Linked DNA regions of Caenorhabditis elegans. The protein of the gene in region 1 interacts with the protein of each later gene in a pairwise test. Each region holds a gene or a part of one and is shown on either strand. Other genes may lie near its edges.

The links. Proteins that work in one complex are often made in the same cells at the same time.
Region 2: the proteins of C47D12.2 (region 1) and gmps-1 interact in a two-hybrid assay, tested with the Caenorhabditis elegans proteins (one large-scale study listed by BioGRID).
Region 3: the proteins of C47D12.2 (region 1) and pes-1 interact in a two-hybrid assay, tested with the Caenorhabditis elegans proteins (one large-scale study listed by BioGRID).

What each region holds. Positions count from the first base shown.
Region 1 is NC_003280.10:11,674,340-11,679,697, forward strand, and holds C47D12.2 (Dymeclin), read left to right. Parts: upstream 1-1,966; 5' UTR 1,967-1,970; coding exon 1,971-2,113; intron 2,114-2,162; coding exon 2,163-2,309; intron 2,310-2,365; coding exon 2,366-2,574; intron 2,575-2,632; coding exon 2,633-2,720; intron 2,721-2,767; coding exon 2,768-3,009; intron 3,010-3,071; coding exon 3,072-3,559; intron 3,560-3,609; coding exon 3,610-3,726; intron 3,727-4,037; coding exon 4,038-4,229; intron 4,230-4,279; coding exon 4,280-4,723; 3' UTR 4,724-4,858; downstream 4,859-5,358. Other genes in the region: trr-1 (Transcription-associated protein 1), read right to left, coding at 25-148, 194-492, 547-1,332, 1,380-1,517; sfxn-1.4 (Sidoreflexin), read right to left, coding at 4,862-5,228, 5,274-5,358.
Region 2 is NC_003280.10:10,863,168-10,870,325, forward strand, and holds gmps-1 (putative GMP synthase [glutamine-hydrolyzing]), read right to left. Parts: upstream 5,548-7,158; 5' UTR 5,476-5,547; intron 5,276-5,475; 5' UTR 5,225-5,275; coding exon 5,171-5,224; intron 4,006-5,170; exon of another isoform or gene 3,949-4,005; intron 3,622-3,948; coding exon 3,561-3,621; intron 3,443-3,560; coding exon 2,924-3,442; intron 2,782-2,923; coding exon 2,422-2,781; intron 2,374-2,421; coding exon 1,784-2,373; intron 1,730-1,783; coding exon 1,181-1,729; intron 1,130-1,180; coding exon 1,025-1,129; 3' UTR 515-1,024; downstream 1-514. Other genes in the region: cap-2 (F-actin-capping protein subunit beta), read left to right, coding at 6,064-6,066, 6,115-6,232, 6,282-6,375, 6,424-6,537, 6,590-6,740, 6,793-6,897, 6,943-7,068, 7,147-7,158.
Region 3 is NC_003282.8:5,001,121-5,006,000, reverse strand, and holds pes-1 (Forkhead box protein pes-1), read right to left. Parts: upstream 3,254-4,880; 5' UTR 3,250-3,253; coding exon 3,153-3,249; intron 3,137-3,152; exon of another isoform or gene 3,116-3,136; intron 2,701-3,115; exon of another isoform or gene 2,680-2,700; intron 1,829-2,679; exon of another isoform or gene 1,808-1,828; intron 1,599-1,807; coding exon 1,512-1,598; intron 1,435-1,511; coding exon 1,372-1,434; intron 1,293-1,371; exon of another isoform or gene 1,272-1,292; intron 1,249-1,271; coding exon 1,012-1,248; intron 965-1,011; coding exon 654-964; 3' UTR 515-653; downstream 1-514. UniProt on the Caenorhabditis elegans protein: Transcription factor. Plays a role in embryogenesis and later development, perhaps acting redundantly with forkhead protein fkh-2.

The sequences.
Region 1 (5,358 bases):
GATTATTGATAGAATAAGTCTTACGGTATCATGTGAATCCATTTTGCACAGAGATTCGGCCAGTGAGTTGAGCAGCCGAGCAGACATAATCTGGACTTGAGAAGAGTTGTTAGGATCGTGAAGAGTGCGACAGAATACGAAAATCACGCTGAAATTTCAACATTTTTCATCAGAAAGTCTTATTCAAACTTACTGTGTGATCATTTCATAGTCTATAGAATTTCGCATGTGATGCAACAGATCTGCTAGCATTTGATACATGAAAACTCGCAAATGCTCAATCGCAGTGAATCCTGTTCCCAGAACAACCTCCTCAGCGATGAGTCGAGGTAGCATTGGAAAGAATTTCGACTTCATTTCTCCAGATGTGAAATACTTCAAAGCCATCAGAACTTCTCGTCGGACACTTATCAGATCAGCCGGGCACCGCTCGAGCATCTGCATTGTTCCCGACACTAGAAGCGGTCCATTTTGCATGATAAGATCCATAAACTGAAAAATAAAAATCAGGATTACAGAAAAAAAACTTGAAAAAACGAAACTTACCGCTGGAATCTTAGCCATAATGTTGACGAATGACAGGAATCGGGACTGTGCACTGACAAAATCATCGGTTATTATTTGATTTGTTTTGAGTTTATCCTCGTCTGGAACTCTGACATTTAGAAAATCAAGACCAAGCCTCATGAAATCAAGCGCTTCGGTTTGGATCGCTGTTTTGAAATGTTGATAGAAGAAAATCACGAGATACGGAACCTCCAGGAGCACCTTCGTTGACTGATGAGCTGATGGAATCATATTGTATTTTAATGGCGGTTTTCCTTCCGTTCCGTTGAGAAGAACCGTTTGTTGATAGTAGCAAGTCTTCAAATATTCAGTGATGACTTGCTCGTCGGAGCTAGTTGACGGTGGAGCTTTATGCTCTTTTATGTTGAACATATCACCAGCTCGACCACTCGCCGTCAGATCAATGACCATTGTTTTGAAGGAGACCATTATCTGTGAAACCTCTCCGCAATATTGCATTTTGCCGGTACTTCTCCCTTGATCGGTGACAATTTTGATAGCCAAATTGGCATTCTCCTCATTTTCCACGGTGATTAGCCTCATCATCTGCTTGATAATTTCTTTGCTATGATGTTTCATGGCTTCTACGTTCGAAAGTCGAAGAATGATTTCAAGCATTAACTTTCGAAGCTGTTGTGTATTGTTTTCAGCAATGAACTGTGGACTTGTGTTGCAGAAAACTTGTAGGAACGAGAGAATGAGCCTCTCCACGACTTTCTCGTGCGAACTTAGTGTGAAATGATTTTCGATTGTGCTCCAAATCTCCTGCAACCGAACAAATTGATTACTTAACACGAATTATTGAAACTAACTTGTAACATTTTCAATTTGACATCATCTCTTTGTGAATTATCGGCAAGATTTTGAATTCTCGTTTCCAGCTCTGTTAGGTGATTACTCCGATCGGACTGCACAGACCGATAGCCTGGAGAAGCCATAGCCGGATCCATTTTGTATTAGTGACCAGCACTGAAGATACTTCTAAACTATTGAGCTTTGTGCAACTATTTGAATAATTTATCTGAAACAAGATTTACGTGTTTAATTCACTAAATTGCGAAGGAAACAGATTATAAAATGAAGAATGGAGTAGAATGAACTATTAGGAAGTGAATGCAACAAGAAAAATCAGTCAGAAAACGCTGAAATTATCGGAAAACTGACATTATTTCAGCAGAAACAAAGAAACAACTAAATTTCAAACGAGAGCGAATTGTCTGCTGACGCGTATGTGTGTGTGTTGGCGCACTCGCGGTTGTTGGCGCATTTCACGTGCATTGCCACGAACGAGAGAGGAGATTTTATTGAATAAAAAAGATGTGACCTGATTAATATTTGACCCTTTCTTGACTTTTTCTTTTATTTTTATGATTATTAACAGTGTAATAACAAATTTCAGACACATGGGATCAGTTATAACCAAGGAAACGGTCTTACAGGAGAATATTTATCTGAAGAAACTCAGCGGTTTGGAACCTGTCGACGATTATGACCCATTTTGGAACAAACTTCTCTCTTTCAGTCTCAAGTTTGATGATGACGACGAGTAAGGATTAAAATTAGGCAAAAGCTTTAAAAATGTTATAATCGTTTAGAGACACCCGAATCGCTTTGGAATCTGCTTTAGATGATCATCTTCAATGTCTAATGTACAATACACAAACAACAGGAAATTTCGCTGCATTTATTCGACTTTTCCTTCGCAGAGCCACAGAACTAAAAACATCAGAACAATGCGAAAAGTGAGTTGGAAAAAAAAATCATCATTATATTTAATTAAAGCTTTTTCTTATTTCAGTAAAATCTACTTATGGCAAACATCAAACGCTCTTCTCATTCTTCGTTACATCGCCAGATTTTTAACTCAACGTATGACGGAAAAAGAATTCGTGAGGATTTTCGCCAAAAGTCATGAGAGTACGGAAACCGAATCGTCGTCTACATCTTCCTCGTCGGATGAGGAAGATGATGACGAACAGAAATCAGAAAACGAAAATAATAATGGAGGTAAATAAGCTTCATTTAAAAAAAAAATTCAATAATAATCAAATTCTGACGTTTTCAGCGACAAAATATATCCCGATAGTTTTTCAAAACACTGCAGAAGAGTTCACGTATGAGCTGGTTTCGATTTTAATCAATATTTCTGTAAAGTGAGTTTTAAATTATTTTTTAAAAAATTGAATTAAAATAATTTCAGCGAAACAACATTGGCAATCCATGTCGAAGCAGTTCGATGTCTCCTAACTCTCCTGAGCTCTCAACTATATAATGAATCAATTGTGAATACTTCAATTGTCTTCAGATTCTTTATTGATGGATCATGTGCGAAACACGCAGCTTCGCTCACTAAAACTCTTCTTCTCAATTATTTGATCCACAATTCAGAGTATCACATGACTGTACAAAAGCCACAAGAGAGCATTGTTTTTGGATTAGCTTGTATGTCACTGAAAATCTTTTTTAATTCTTTATTAAATTAAAAAAAAAACACGATTTTTAAGCATCAATGTGGTCAATGGTCCAAATGGCAACTGGTATCGACTCCGCAGAGGAAGAAAAGAAGCCCCCACTTACTCTTGGAAACTTAAGCATCCTGCTTCTCCTCAATCTTTCATGCCATCAACCTCTCAATTCATCCAATCCATTCAAAGAAACCCTTGCTCTCTTCCAAAATGCTCAAGAAGTATCCACATTGCCTACTCAGATTGTGTCGTTCAAAATCGATTATAATGGATTATACGAAAGATTGTGTGCTACCGCTGGCCAGGAACCTCCGATGCTTCTACTCTACATGCTTCTACAGGCGAACTCGGGATTCCGGAACTATGTGTTGTCTCGGATCAACCTCGAGAATCTAGTTGTTCCTGTTCTTCGAATTCTTCACGACGGTGTCGCGACATCGAACAACTCTCACCATGTTTATCTTGCATTGATTGTCGCCTTGATTCTCAGTGAAGATGATATTTTCTGCAAGATTATACACGAGACGGTGAGTTTTCACTAGAAATGCTAAGATTATATTGAAGTATATATTTGCAGATGATCAAGGATCTCGGCTGGCTGGACAGTGATTTCAGTGTCCGCGAGATCTCTCTCGGAGGTTTGACAACTCTTGTGCTGGTTCGAGCAATTCAGAAGAATGCTTTGAAAACTAGAGTTAGTTGTTGCTACCAAGGGTGTCATTTTTCAATTTTTTTTTCGATTTTTTGACGTTTTTCAGTGGAAATCGAAAAATCGAAAAAAATGTTCAGAAAATTAACCATAAAATATGATTTTTTATCTAATTTTGTTTATATTGATAAGAACAAACATAAAAGTTTCATCTAAAAAGAAGAATAATGGCCAATATATCAAGCTCCTTTTTTAAAAATCGAAAAATCGAACAATTGAAAAAGCGAAAAACCGACAGTTGCTACCTGAAGATACAAAATTTTGTTTTTTTTTAAACCAAACTCAAATTTTTCCAGGACCGATATCTTCACACAAACTGCTTAGCTGCTCTTGCAAACATGTCAGCTTTCTTCAAAAATCTTGCTCCAATTGTTTGCCAAAGACTCATATCACTGCTTGATCTTCTAACAAAACGGCATGCTAAAATGGTGGATCATATGAGAGTCAGCAGTCAGAATGATGTTGCAGATGGACAGCCGATCAATTTCGTAAGTTCATATTTTGTTCAAAAATCCAAATAAAAAGTATAATATTTCAGCATGACGACATTACTGCTCTCGAAGAAGGAATTCGAACTCTCCTTGAGATCATCAACAGTGCACTTTGTGGAGGACTCCGTCACAATTCACACCTCATCTACAACCTTCTCTACCATCGTGCTCTATTCGATGCATACGTTCAGCACCCAATGTTCCAAGATCTTCTTGTTAACATCGCAGCAGTAATCTCTCACTTCTCGTCGAAAGTGATACATGTCCCAGCAGGCGATGGATCCACAATGCTGCAAATAATCGAGAAGGAGGCAAACATATGGCCAACCGATCGACTCGCAAAGTTCCCAGAATTGAAGTTCCGATACGTGGAGGATGAGTACACTGTCGATTTCTTTGTGCCATACGTCTGGAGGCTATCTGTTCAACATTCGGGAATCTACTTCGAAACATCAAGAATCAAAATATTTAACGCCCAAAGTATTGCTTGACCCTCAAATTGTTTTATTAATCGGTAAGCATAATGCCGGTAGTATTTATTCGGACGCAAATATTGATAAGTGGCCTTATTCATGTGATGATCATAAGATACCATAATAATGTACAATAAATCTATTATCTAATTGAGTTCAGAGTCCTTTGTTGTAGTACACCACTTTCGGGGGATTTGCCAACTTGTTGATATGATCTTGAAGTGAAAGCTCCAGCTTATCAACTTGAATTGAGCTTTTCTGTGGGAAAAGAGCACAACAAATTGGTGTGGAAAAAGCCAACATGAATCCACAGAGCAATGTTTGAAGAGGTGCAGCCATTCCAGGTGTATACCATGCAGTTTTGGAAAGTTGCTCCAAGATCACTGGTCCTAGAACCATATTTGGAACCGCCATTCCAACACGACTGAGCACAACTTGTGGAATAGCATGACCAGGTGCAACTGTTGAAAATCCCATTGTTCTACCTTCACCATCTTCAACTGGAATTCCATTTGTAAATTCTCTGAAACAAATAAATTATTAAAATGTCTTTTAATCTGATTCTCACTTGTTTCTCATCATAGGAATATTAATTGCATTGGCGAATGCAATAGCAGCAAATGGAACGAGACGAGCAAGAATCGGCGGAGCAT
Region 2 (7,158 bases), 810 kb from region 1:
GTGCTAATGCTGGCAGAAGGAAGACTAGCTTCAGATGTCCTTAGAGACAAGAGAGGAAAAAATTGAATTTTCGCTGATAATTTCAGTTTGGCGGGAGAAAGTAAAATGGAAATTTATTGGTATTTACCTATTTCACCTAAATAAATGAAAAATTTCAATAAAAAAATACAAAGAAGCCGAAAACAGAACGAAAATCGGTCAGAAACCTGTGCAAAAATTTAAAATTTAAAGGATCGTGCACAACGTGTGGTCAAAGGTCTCGGCACGATTCATACAATTTTCAAATTAAAGGTATGCGCCTTTAATTGAAGAAGAGAGATTACTGTAATTTTTTAAAGTTATTTTTCGCGAAAAATTGATAAATTGCTGGAAAAGATTTGACTTTACTTGTAAAAGCATAAGTTCAGAATTAAAATATTTTTACAAGGTCCAGATACAAAGATTGTTGCTCTTATTATGACAATTTTCTTTGCCCTAATGATATTGTGTCGTTTCTCCAAACAAAAAAACAAATCAACAAGAACCATTTATATTTAGAAGAAAAGCAGCACCGTGAATATCAATCAAATCTATCGGGATTCACGCCAAGCTCGGAAATGTTCATCGGTATCGTTGAGCACTAGATAAAAAATTTAAAAAAAAAACCGATGGACACCTTTTGAAAACTCGGCACTGGGAACTGACGTTTAACGCTTTAAAACACATAAAATCGGAGCAAAAAAATTGGGGAGGGAACAGAGGACGTTGGAAAAGTGCACCCGGGATGAGAAAAAACGAAGAATCAAAATCAACATGATACAACAATAATCTATTTAACAATTACCTGAAAAACCTTTCTTTTAAGAGATGAAAATGATATAAAAACTAATAGAGAAAGAATTGAACTGTAAAACTGGGAAGAGAACAATGGAGGGAAGCGGAAATGATAAAGACACCTGAGAAAATTATTATTTCGCATCGGATGAAGATCAGTCCATAAAATGATAAGAGAAAGGCCAGTGATGACGATTTAGTCCGAAAAAGCTTATTCCCATTCGGTGGTGCCCGGTGGCTTACAGGTCATGTCCAGAAGAACACGAGAGATACCAAGAACATTGGTTCTGATGGCCTTGTCCATTTCAATAAGAGTCTGAAATATAAATTGATTAGAAAAAAAAACAAATGTTTGTCGAAAACTAACCTCTTCCGGTAAGTGAACTCCTGGAATCGCAGCCTGACCAGTCATAAAGTCCGATGTGACAAACGGACGAAGAACAATCGAGTGCCTGTATGATCCAATCATATCTCTATCACGATCAAAATCAACAGGCAGAAGGACGACTGGCATCTGTTGAATTTTGTGCCCAACATTTGGCAGCTGCGTACCATCCGAAGCAGCGACACGTCCGAATAGAATATTATTGGCGATGTGATCCGCCATTTGAAGTTTAGTGACAATGTGTGGTACAAGATATGTTCTCGTCAGGTCCTCGATCGAAAACTCGATTTTTGATCCAAATGCGTAGACGACTCGATTGACTCCGTGGAACAGCTTCGGGATGACTGAAGCATACGCGAACAGGAGTTTCCATGGAATTGGTCGTTGCTCGGTGGACAGTGCAACTGCATACGAATAGGATCTGGCATCTCCTTGAACACCGACTGTTTTGATTGGAAGAATGTGAGCACTGATTTGGAAGGTTTGTTGCTCGGCGAGTTGGCGATCTCTTTCAGACAGTGATAGTAGAACCTGAAAAACAGAAATAATAGACTCTGGATATAGTTTTCAATAGTGACAACTCACATTGTTCCGTGCCTGCTCGAACTGCAGGTGTTCATAAATTCCTTGACTTGGATTAATTGCAGAATTTAAAAACTGCTCAGTAACATCGATAATTCTTCCTTGCACATCTCCATTATACATCGGACCGTTGAACATCAACTCCGGCCTCTTATCTGATGCACAAAGAATGCGAATCGCAAGACCAGGTCCTGGGAATGGATGTCTCTGCACAATACTTTCAGGCAACCCAAGATCTTTTCCAAGCTCTCTGACTTCATCTTTGTGGAAATCTTTCAGCGGCTCCACAACTTTTCCGAGTTTTCTCAGTTCTCGCACCAAAAATGTGTCATTGTGATGAGTTTTGATAGTGTCCGCGTGTCCCGAAGCAAGAGCACTTGCACTTTCAATTAAATCTGGACGGAGAGTTCCTTGTGCAAGGAAATATTCATCATGATTGATATTCAAGTCCTTCATAATCACATCTTTTACGCGAATAAATGTATTTCCAATGATTTTTCTCTTCATCTCCGGATCATCACACTCATCCAACGCAACTTCTCCATCCTTGCAGTGTTCTGTACTGGAACGGAACGTTGTGCCGAAGTTATACCCTGAAATTAATTTTTTTTTTTGAATTAAAAAAATTTTTTTAAACTCACTGTGAATCGGAAGATCAAGCGCCGCAAGACTCTTCTCAACAGCATCACTCTCCTCATGACGCATGAATCCATTGTCAATATGAATTGCTGTGACCCGATTTGGTCCAAGAGCACGACGGAGCAACGCAGCACAAACAGCCGAGTCGACACCTCCAGACACCATTACGAGTACCTTCTTGTCACCGACAATGCTATTGATCTCCGAAATACACGATTGCTCACGGTTTTGAATAGTGAAATTTCCACAGCATCCGACAACTTTGAAAAGGAAATTCTCGAACATTTTCGTGCCGTTGGTAGTGAGATCTACTTCTGGATGAAACTGGACACCGTACAGCTTGCGGTTCTCGTTACAAATTCCTGCAAAAAGGTTTTGAGATGAAAGTACGAATATTTGATGAGGGGTTAGAAGCATTGGTAAATATTAAAATCAGAAAATTATTATTTAATTTTGTTTTTTTTTGTTTTAAAAAAATGTGAATAAAATTTTCAATAAACTCACCAGCAACATGATGGCCACTTTTGGCCATAACTTTGAAGTCTGGAGCCACCGTAGCCTCTGATACACTGTCTCCGTGAGTTAGCAAGACAGTTTCTGTTTTGTGAAGTCCATTGAACAAATGAACGCTCGTATCGACTTGAATTTCACATGCTCCGTCTTCTCTGATATGCTCTCTTGTTACAGTTCCTCCATTGAGCTTATTCATCAACTGAAATCCGTAACAAATTCCAAGAACTGGCAATCCACAAGTGAAGATTTCTGGATCGATTGACGGGGCTTCTGGTTCGAATACCGAGTTGGGACCACCAGAAATGATGATTCCCTTGAATCCGCCAAGCTCGATGAGTGTACGAGCTGTCGTGTTGAGTGGAAACATCTCTGATTGTACGAGAAGCTCGCGAACACGTCGATCAATAACTTTTCCATATTGTGCTCCAAAGTCGAGGATGGCAATGCGTTCGCCACTTGAAACCTTCTCAACTGGAAGATTCTCGACAAGGGTGACGTGACTTCCTGAAGCTTTTCAACATATTAGTTTTTGTCTTAATTATGAAAATGTGAGTGAATACAAAAATCTAATACAAAAAAAAAGTTATTTTATTCTAAAATCACATTTTCATTGAAATTATCTACTTACCGTTCATATTGGCACTATCAAATCGATCTTCTGGCGCCTTCTTCGGTGGTGGAGCTTTGTTCTGAAATATTATAATTCTGTATGGTATGTATTTTCGGCTTTTTAGAGCAAAATTTGAGAGCTTGTTAAACGTGGAGCCTGCTGACATGCAGCTGCCAAGGCAGATGAAATGAGAGTGAAAATGGCTGAACTGTTAGGAGATAGTGAGAGACGCAGGGCATAGAGTGCAAAATAAGTTGGAAAGAGCAGCTTTTTGACTAAAACTGGCCTGAAAAGTCCGAAAAAAGTAGCCAAACATTGCTAAAATCTAAAATTACTCCAACTTCTCCTAAATTATTATCCTGAATTGCATCTTTTGGTCATTTATCTCTAATTAATTCATTGATTTAGGCACATTTTAAGTAGATAGGCATCAAAATTGGACGCCTACCGACTTAAAATGTGCCTAAATCAACCAAAATATGCAATAAAAGGTGATAATTTCATAAAAACAGTATTCCTCAATGCTTTGAGTGGCTCAAAACCGAGCATCGGGCGGCTTCAAGAGTAGGAAGAAGATGACAGCAAAAAACAAAGAAGAGATAGTTGAAAAGTTCTCTCAGCACAGAAACTGAAATCAAAATCAAACAATGTGAGAGAGAGCGAGAGAGTGGTGAGACGTAGAGATTGAAAAAAAAAGAGAGAAACAAAACCAAAGGGAACCTTTTGAATGACGACAAGAGGAAAGGAGAGAGCAGAACCAGTGCTGTAACAGAGAAAAAGAAATAATGACGAAAAAGATAAAAGTCAGGAGAGAGAGAGAGAGAAATGGTGGAAAATCATATTAAAGATAATATTTTAAAAAAGTGCTGCTGTACTTGGAAAAATTGCAAAATTTTTCAACTAGACCCTAGTTTCCTAGTTTTCCAGCATTTTAGTGTTCGGCTGGGAGAATATAACTACGATTTCGTCGAGGAGAATTTTCTACCAAGAAAATATATTTTCCAGTGAAAAACGCTTATCCCATGAGAAAAACCAAGGAATTCTCACTGAAAATTGTGATAAATAAGACAAAAACTGCCAACAAATATTAAAATATACTCGGTTTTTAGACGAAAACTATCAAGAAACGGCGCAGTAATCCTGAAAATCAGATAGAAAGTTCTAGAAAAGCCGGTATAATCTGAACTCCACGTCAATTAGGTCACCTAGTTTCGATATATCACTGGATTAACGTGAACATTTTTATTTATTTAAAAAGAAAACCCTTCAGGTTACAGGAAAATTAGCTTTTTTTCGCGAAAAAACATGTAATTTGAGCGCCGAAACATATGGTGGAACCCCCCTTGAACAGAAAAGTCGGCATGTGGCTTTAGTGACAACTGATCTTTTGTCTTCAGAGGAAGATATTGTGATTCTAGAGAACTTTGAACTATTTGGAGTCGGAAAAAACAGAATGTAGTTGCGGAGAATGCAATAAAATTGCAATTATTTCTTTTCTTTTATAGTGACGATTTCAGGGAAAATTGTAAAAGCCCTTTGCAGCGATAAAATAATTAAATTCAACGAAAATTCAAAAAAGAAATCCATTAGCAAAGCGGCAAGATCAAAAGAAAAGTACAAGTTCTGACCGTGGAATGTTGACTGTCCTCGTTGATGTCCAACATTGAACTCGATCTTTTCATAGTATGCTCACTGACTTTCGAGACGGCCTTTGTTCTTTTTGCACGCTGAAGCTAGGTTATAATGATTTGAAGTCAATGGAAAGTGGAATTTTTTGGCAATTTATAATGAAAACCTCCTTAAAACGCACGTTTAAACGTTGAAAATGCTTTTTTTCGTTTTTTAACGTTGAAAACCAAATCGGGAGCCAATTTACAGAAATGTGCGCGAATTTTCACCCAGTTTTTCAAAATTTTCACATTTAAATACTCACTTCAGATGGAAGGTTGCGGCAGTGACGTTTACTCTGACGCGCTCCAATTTTGACTCGTTTTGGCTGCAATTACTGAAATAACAAAATTTAGTGGATTCGGTGTTTTCTCGGAGATGAAGCGATGAGAATGTACAGAACACGGATAAACTTGCGATGAAAATTTCATGTCAATTAATTTAAAATTAATTTTTTCGGTTTATTAACATAAAAATTGACGGAAAAAACTTAAATTTAAAAGCTCGAAGAAAAAAACAAAAATTTGAAGAACTCTGGCGAAACGCCAAAAGCTCGCGGGTCTCGCCGCGATTTGCCGACGAGAGTGACTATGGGTACGGTGGAGGGACGAGAGAGTGAGAGAAACGGAGTGTAAAATCAATGAAGTGGTCGCTCCGTTTCGCAACTTTCCTGCTTTCTAATGGCTTTTAAAATATATTTTTGCGAAATTTAATCTTATTTGTGAACTAAAAAATCATTACCCAATCGTTTAGAGTCTTTTTATGTTTTTAATAGGTTGTAACGACTTAAAATCTGACATAAAAGTTTATTGTTTCAGGGAGCACACCCACATCCGGCTCGAAACTATCAAAAATGGTATTTTAATAAATATTTTAAAAACAATTTATAATAAATATTTACCAGGGAGAACAACAGCTCGATTGTGCCCTCGACTTGATGCGAAGACTTCCTCCACAACACTGCGACAAGAATTTGACGGACCTCATCGATCTGTGCCCTCATCTTGTTGATGATCTTCTCAGTATGTTTCCTTTTTAACTAATTTAAAAAAATTCGCTTGATGGTTTTAGGCACTATCGATCAACCGCTGAAAATCGCCGCGGACCGTGAGACCGGCAAACAGTATTTGCTTTGTGACTACAATCGAGATGGCGATAGCTACAGGTATGAGTCATTTTATTTGAAATCTATCGATTTTTTCTGATAATTCAGATCACCATGGAGTAATACCTATGATCCACCACTCGAGGATGGACAATTGCCATCGGAAAAGCGCAGAAAAATGGAAATCGAGGCAAATGCCGCTTTTGAGTCATACCGTGATTTGTAAGTTGACAGAAAAATCATATATTTGCTCATAAATAATAATAATTTCCAGATACTTCGAGGGAGGCGTCTCATCAGTTTACTTCTGGGACTTGGATAATGGAGGTTTCGCCGGAATTGTGCTCATCAAGAAAGAGGGAGACGGAGCCAAAAATATAACAGGATGTTGGGATTCTATTCACGTTATTGAGATCACGGAAAGAGTTGGTTCAAAAACTGTTGAAGAGTTTTTTTTTTTAATTTATAATTTTCCAGGCACGCCAGGCTCACTACAAGCTCACCTCCACTATCATGCTGTGGCTGCAGACAAACAAAAGCTCCAGCGGTGTGATGAACCTCGGTGGCTCCCTTACAAGACAGGTTTTGGTTTCGAGTTGTGAATATATTTAAAAAGAAATATTATAGCATGAGATGGATGCACCAATCAACGATCAGAACACACACTTGGCTAATATGGGACGAATGATTGAGGATCAGGAGTCGAAAATGCGTCTGACGATCAATGAGATATACTTTGGAAAGACGAAGAAGGTAAGCAAAATGCAAATTTATTATATGAAAAAAGTTTCATTTTTAAAAAGTACAATTTTCGAAAAAAATATTTTCCAGGTGATGTCGGAT
Region 3 (4,880 bases), on another chromosome or scaffold:
AAGCTAAACACTTTAAAAGTTTTTGAAAAGGTACATTGAAACCTTTGCCATTTTTTTTAGTTTTTGTCAGCTTGAAGTGAATCATATATGAAACAATTCGATGTATTAAAAATCCTTGGCTAAAGTTTAAAAAAATGCATAATTTGGTACCTTGAATTATTATAATACTTCAAAGTAGAATGTTTCTGCTTCTTGGTAATTTCTTTTTGAATGAGAAATATCTATACACGGATTGAAAATTTTTAAAGCACAGTTACAGATTATTGTTTATTGGAAAAATCACTGTAAATGAAACATTTGAAAAAAAATTAAATCCGGAAGATATACTCAGACTTTTTATTTTGACCCGGGTGCATTCTAAACTACAAGCGGAAGAAAATAAGTAGTTTTGCACAAACCACGGAGTTCAAAAGAGAAGGAAACCCTTCAATTAATGCAAATCACTAACTTTGTCTTCTTGTTTTGGAGCACTTTAATTCACTAATTGTTGCGGTGAGTTCAAGCTTTATACAGAGAATCTAGTTTTCTAAATATTTATCAAAATCCAACAAAATCAAATAATTTAAACACAAATCGGGGAAAAAACAAAAAAACTGATTTTGGACAACAGTTAATTTCAATCAATTTAACAAAAAACTCAGAAGGCTATTCTATCAAGAACTTTTAGGAAAATGAAAGGAGGTAGGATTAATGGGAACTGGAATTATTGGAAAGCCAGGAACCATGGGGATATTCTGGAGGTTTTGCATATTTTGAAGATACATATTTTGAAGCAATGTAGCAAGAATTTGAGGATTTTGCATACAAAGTTGGTGAATGTTTTGGGTTGGAAGCTGAGGGATTGGAAAATGTTGTTGCATTGGTGGAAACTTGGCCACTTTGCTTTTTTGGCGACGAAGCTTTCCGCAGTTGTTGCTGATATAAACATCAGTTCCTAAATCCGCAGTCATTGCCCAGTAGCTGCCTGAAAAGAAACACTATTATTCTATTAAGTCCTGTTAAAACACAAACCTTTTCCATCCAAAGTTCGAACCTTTCGGAACTCTTTATGCAAAGACAAGTTGTGGCGAACCGAGTTTTGCCATTGAAGTGGCTTCTGGTTTTTGTAGTAGGAGAAGTTGGAAGAAATATATTTGTAGATCTCGGAGACTCTCAAACTTTTGAATGGACTGCTCTGAATAGCCATGGCGATCAATGCATTGTACGAGTATTTTGGTCTTTTGGTTGGTGATTCGGTGGAGCTTGAGACTAAAAATTATAAAGATATGTAAATTTTTTGGTAAACATAGTAATTAAAAATCTGCTGAATGTATGAAACTATCATAGTAGTGAAACACTTGACAATTTTAAAAACAAAATATTTTGCCTTACCTGGTGAATTTCTACCAGACTGTTGTTGACCGACTGATTCAGAGCGGGTGTGGAAGGAAGAAGCTGGAACAAATATTAAATTACATATGCGCACATTTTAAGCGTTGTTTGAAACTGTTTGAAACAGTAGAAAAATTAACCTGGTGAAACGGAGCAAGAGCTGGAAGTTGAGCTGTCCAAGTCGAGGCACAAGTCCGAGATGTTGAAGCCCTTCATTTTTGAATTACCTGAAATTTGTAGTTACAGAAATAAATAAATCTGAAAGTCGGTGTCAGGGAAAGAGAAATCAGATTATTTTGGAAGAACAAAGATTTAACTATTCTGTAAACTTTGAATTAGCTCTACGAAGCATCTCGAGTATTTGAGTCAGCAATTCATGAGAGAACACACACAGCTCAACAAGAAATTTAATTATGCACAGCTAAAATTAACGCGTTGAAAAATTGCTGTAACGAAAACAAGTTTAGAAAATGGAAACAAAACTTATTAAAACATTGAAACAGTAAAATATTTAAGTCAGTCCCATATTAAATGTATAATCTAGCCCATCTCCTCACTTTTTCCAGTTCATCACCCACGATATCTGGTGATGTGTTCAATTTACAGGTGGTGCTGACAAATACATCTGCAACTCGCATCTTCTGCATGAACAATACCTGGACTTTAGTGCCCGTTCATCAACCATGAAATGTACCGTATATTCTATATTAGAGCGGCATGCCGCACTAATTTCCGGGCCCTTCGCGACGTGCGCTCTATTAGAGACTGCCGTTCTACTGGATACTGCCGCACTAATTTTCGATAACTAATTTTCATATTGAAGTTACTACTTTTGGGAGTAGTAACCTCAAAATTTCCTTCTAAAACCTCATATTTTATGGAAAAAATTTATGAAAATTGTGTAATTTTGCCTCACAGAGACACTAAAATTCAATATTTAAATGAAAATTTATGAATTCATTCAAGAATGAACAAAAATGTCTTCGAAGAAATCAAATAATTGAGGTGGCTCTCGCACCCAAAAAAAAAGGGGTGCCGCACTAATAGAGACTGTCGCTCTAATTTTCGAAGAGCCAGTTAGGGTGCCGCTCTAATAGATACGCCGTACTATTAGATACGCCGCTCTAATAGAGAATATACGGTAGATGGTATATTAATAGAGCTAAATGCTAGTATTTTTGCTAAATAAACTAAACATTTTTATGCACATGTAAAACATTGAACTTTTCGCAAAATGTTTTTTTTTTGCTAGGACTGTGTGGAAAATTATTTAGACGAATAATTAAAAGGTTAAAAAGTACTTTTCTCTCCTACTCCTCGTATACTACAACAATCCTCGAATAGAACCTATTGTCTTTAACTAACGTTGAAACAGTGAAATAAATTAACTGTTTTTGACACATAATGGTTTCGAAGAAGAGCCCAAATAACTTTTCCGCAAATTTCCGACCGTAACCCAAATCCAATTCACACCCTATCATAGCACCTACTCAACACAATGATGGGAAACCAATCCCGACGCTTTTTGCGCAAACTTGGCAAAAAAGTTGAAACAATGAGTGTGAATTGCTCTGTGAACACATAAACCGACGCAATATACATCTGCCAATTATGTAATGGATATGGGATTTCGACAAAGTTTTTTTACAAGCTTGGGAAAAATTAGAAAAAATTTTTGTGCTTTCGAAAAAAAATTACTGTTTCATGAAATTGTTGTACTTACAACGAATTTTCAAACCCCCGATGCTTTCCTTCAACTATGTATTAGCATTGCAACTTACCTGGAGATGCGGTTTTCGGCGGTGTTGGAGGAAGTGAAGAACAGTTATCCAAATCGAGCAGAAATTGTGGAGCATCAGATTTGATTGATGACGTCATCTAAATGTATTATTATGTAGTAGTAAAAGAAAACAATTTATACTAATAAGTTTGAAAGCCGACTGCGGAATATTAAAAAGATTGTGAAACAGAATAAAATGTTTTGATGAATACACTTAACAAGCAGACGATGCCAAAACTAGGAGTTGTTGTGTTCTAATTAGTAATGAACTATTTTTCAAGCGCCTTGTTTATAAAAATATTGATTAAAATGAAATTTAAAATCAAAGCAGGTAACCAGTGGAAAATTAAAATTGTTCTTATGAAAACAATTTGGAACTAGAGATTTGGTAAATTATCAATAACCGCAGTAGTCGAAAATTGAAACAAACAATTGGCTTGATAATTGTAGTTTATGTATGATTGTCGGGGCGATAGATAGTAAAATTAACCGACGTGTGTGGTTCAACAAGTAATCTGGGAATAGAAATCAAATTCAAACTTTTTTGGGAGACATTTCAGAATTGAAAAAAAACAATGAATGCGAGATTTTTATCGGGAAGATAAAACAGTGTTATACGATACAACTACCAGAAAATTTGAAGTAATGTTTCAAAAATATGGTAAAGCGCCAAACAATTTTTATCTAATTCTCAACAATCTACAGATATTTAAAATTTTCACGGTACCTCCTAGATTACATCATTTTCAAAAAGTACAACACAAGCGCAACAAAAAAGTGGAAGTGTTTAAAAAGAAAAAGTATCAGCACCTGTTAGATGGTAAAAACATTAGTAGAAGATACTCACAGCCTCACACTATATGGGTGTCTGTCTCGAGAGGAAAGTGGCAAATAAGAAGAGGAGGAGTTGTAAAACATCTGCTCTGTCGCTGGGGGTACAATACCACCGCCCATATCATACTTTTTTTCAAACTCCCTTTGCCGGCGGTCAGTAGGTCAACAGAACACCATCGTTGTAAATCAGAGAAGAGTCCATAAAAATATTAGGACTGTCGTGGGATAAAGAGGAATCATTGGGATTTACACCTTTTTGATATTACCTTGTTGGCAAAATTTGTCAGGAAAATAGGTCTCAAAACAACACATTTTTGTCAATTGACAAAAAATTAGGAATGAGAAAATTAGACGAAATATGGAAATGTCAGAAGATTGGAATTTCGGTAGAAACTACGGAGAAGAAGTTAAGGTACTTTTGAAACACACACTCGTTTACTTTCATCATAATTTTGCCACTTTTGTAGATGAAACGATTCTTGATAACAAAAAAAGATTTGCAAAGGAGGAAAACCAAACCTTGAAGTTTTTGTTTTGTTCTTCGGAAGTTGACTTTTTGTTTTATCTTATCCAGACAACCTTGAATTATAGAATTTTGGTACAATGTTGGCTTCTGCCTTCAAGTTAGGCTTTGGCCGGCTTTTTCCGGCGATGAAAAAGTTTTTGAGTCCGGGACAAGTGAAATTGACAATCAAAACTGTTGAAAACTGCACCGTGCAAAGCGTACAGAATAGTAAAAGTGATTTAAATAACCTTTGTAATGCATTTCTTCAGCTTTTAAGAGAAATTTCAATTTTTGCAGTTGATAAACTCAACTACTCTGAAATTGAGATTTTTTTTGAATACCCCTTCATGGAATTGTGGGAAAAGTTTCAGAGAAAATTGTATTTTTCTA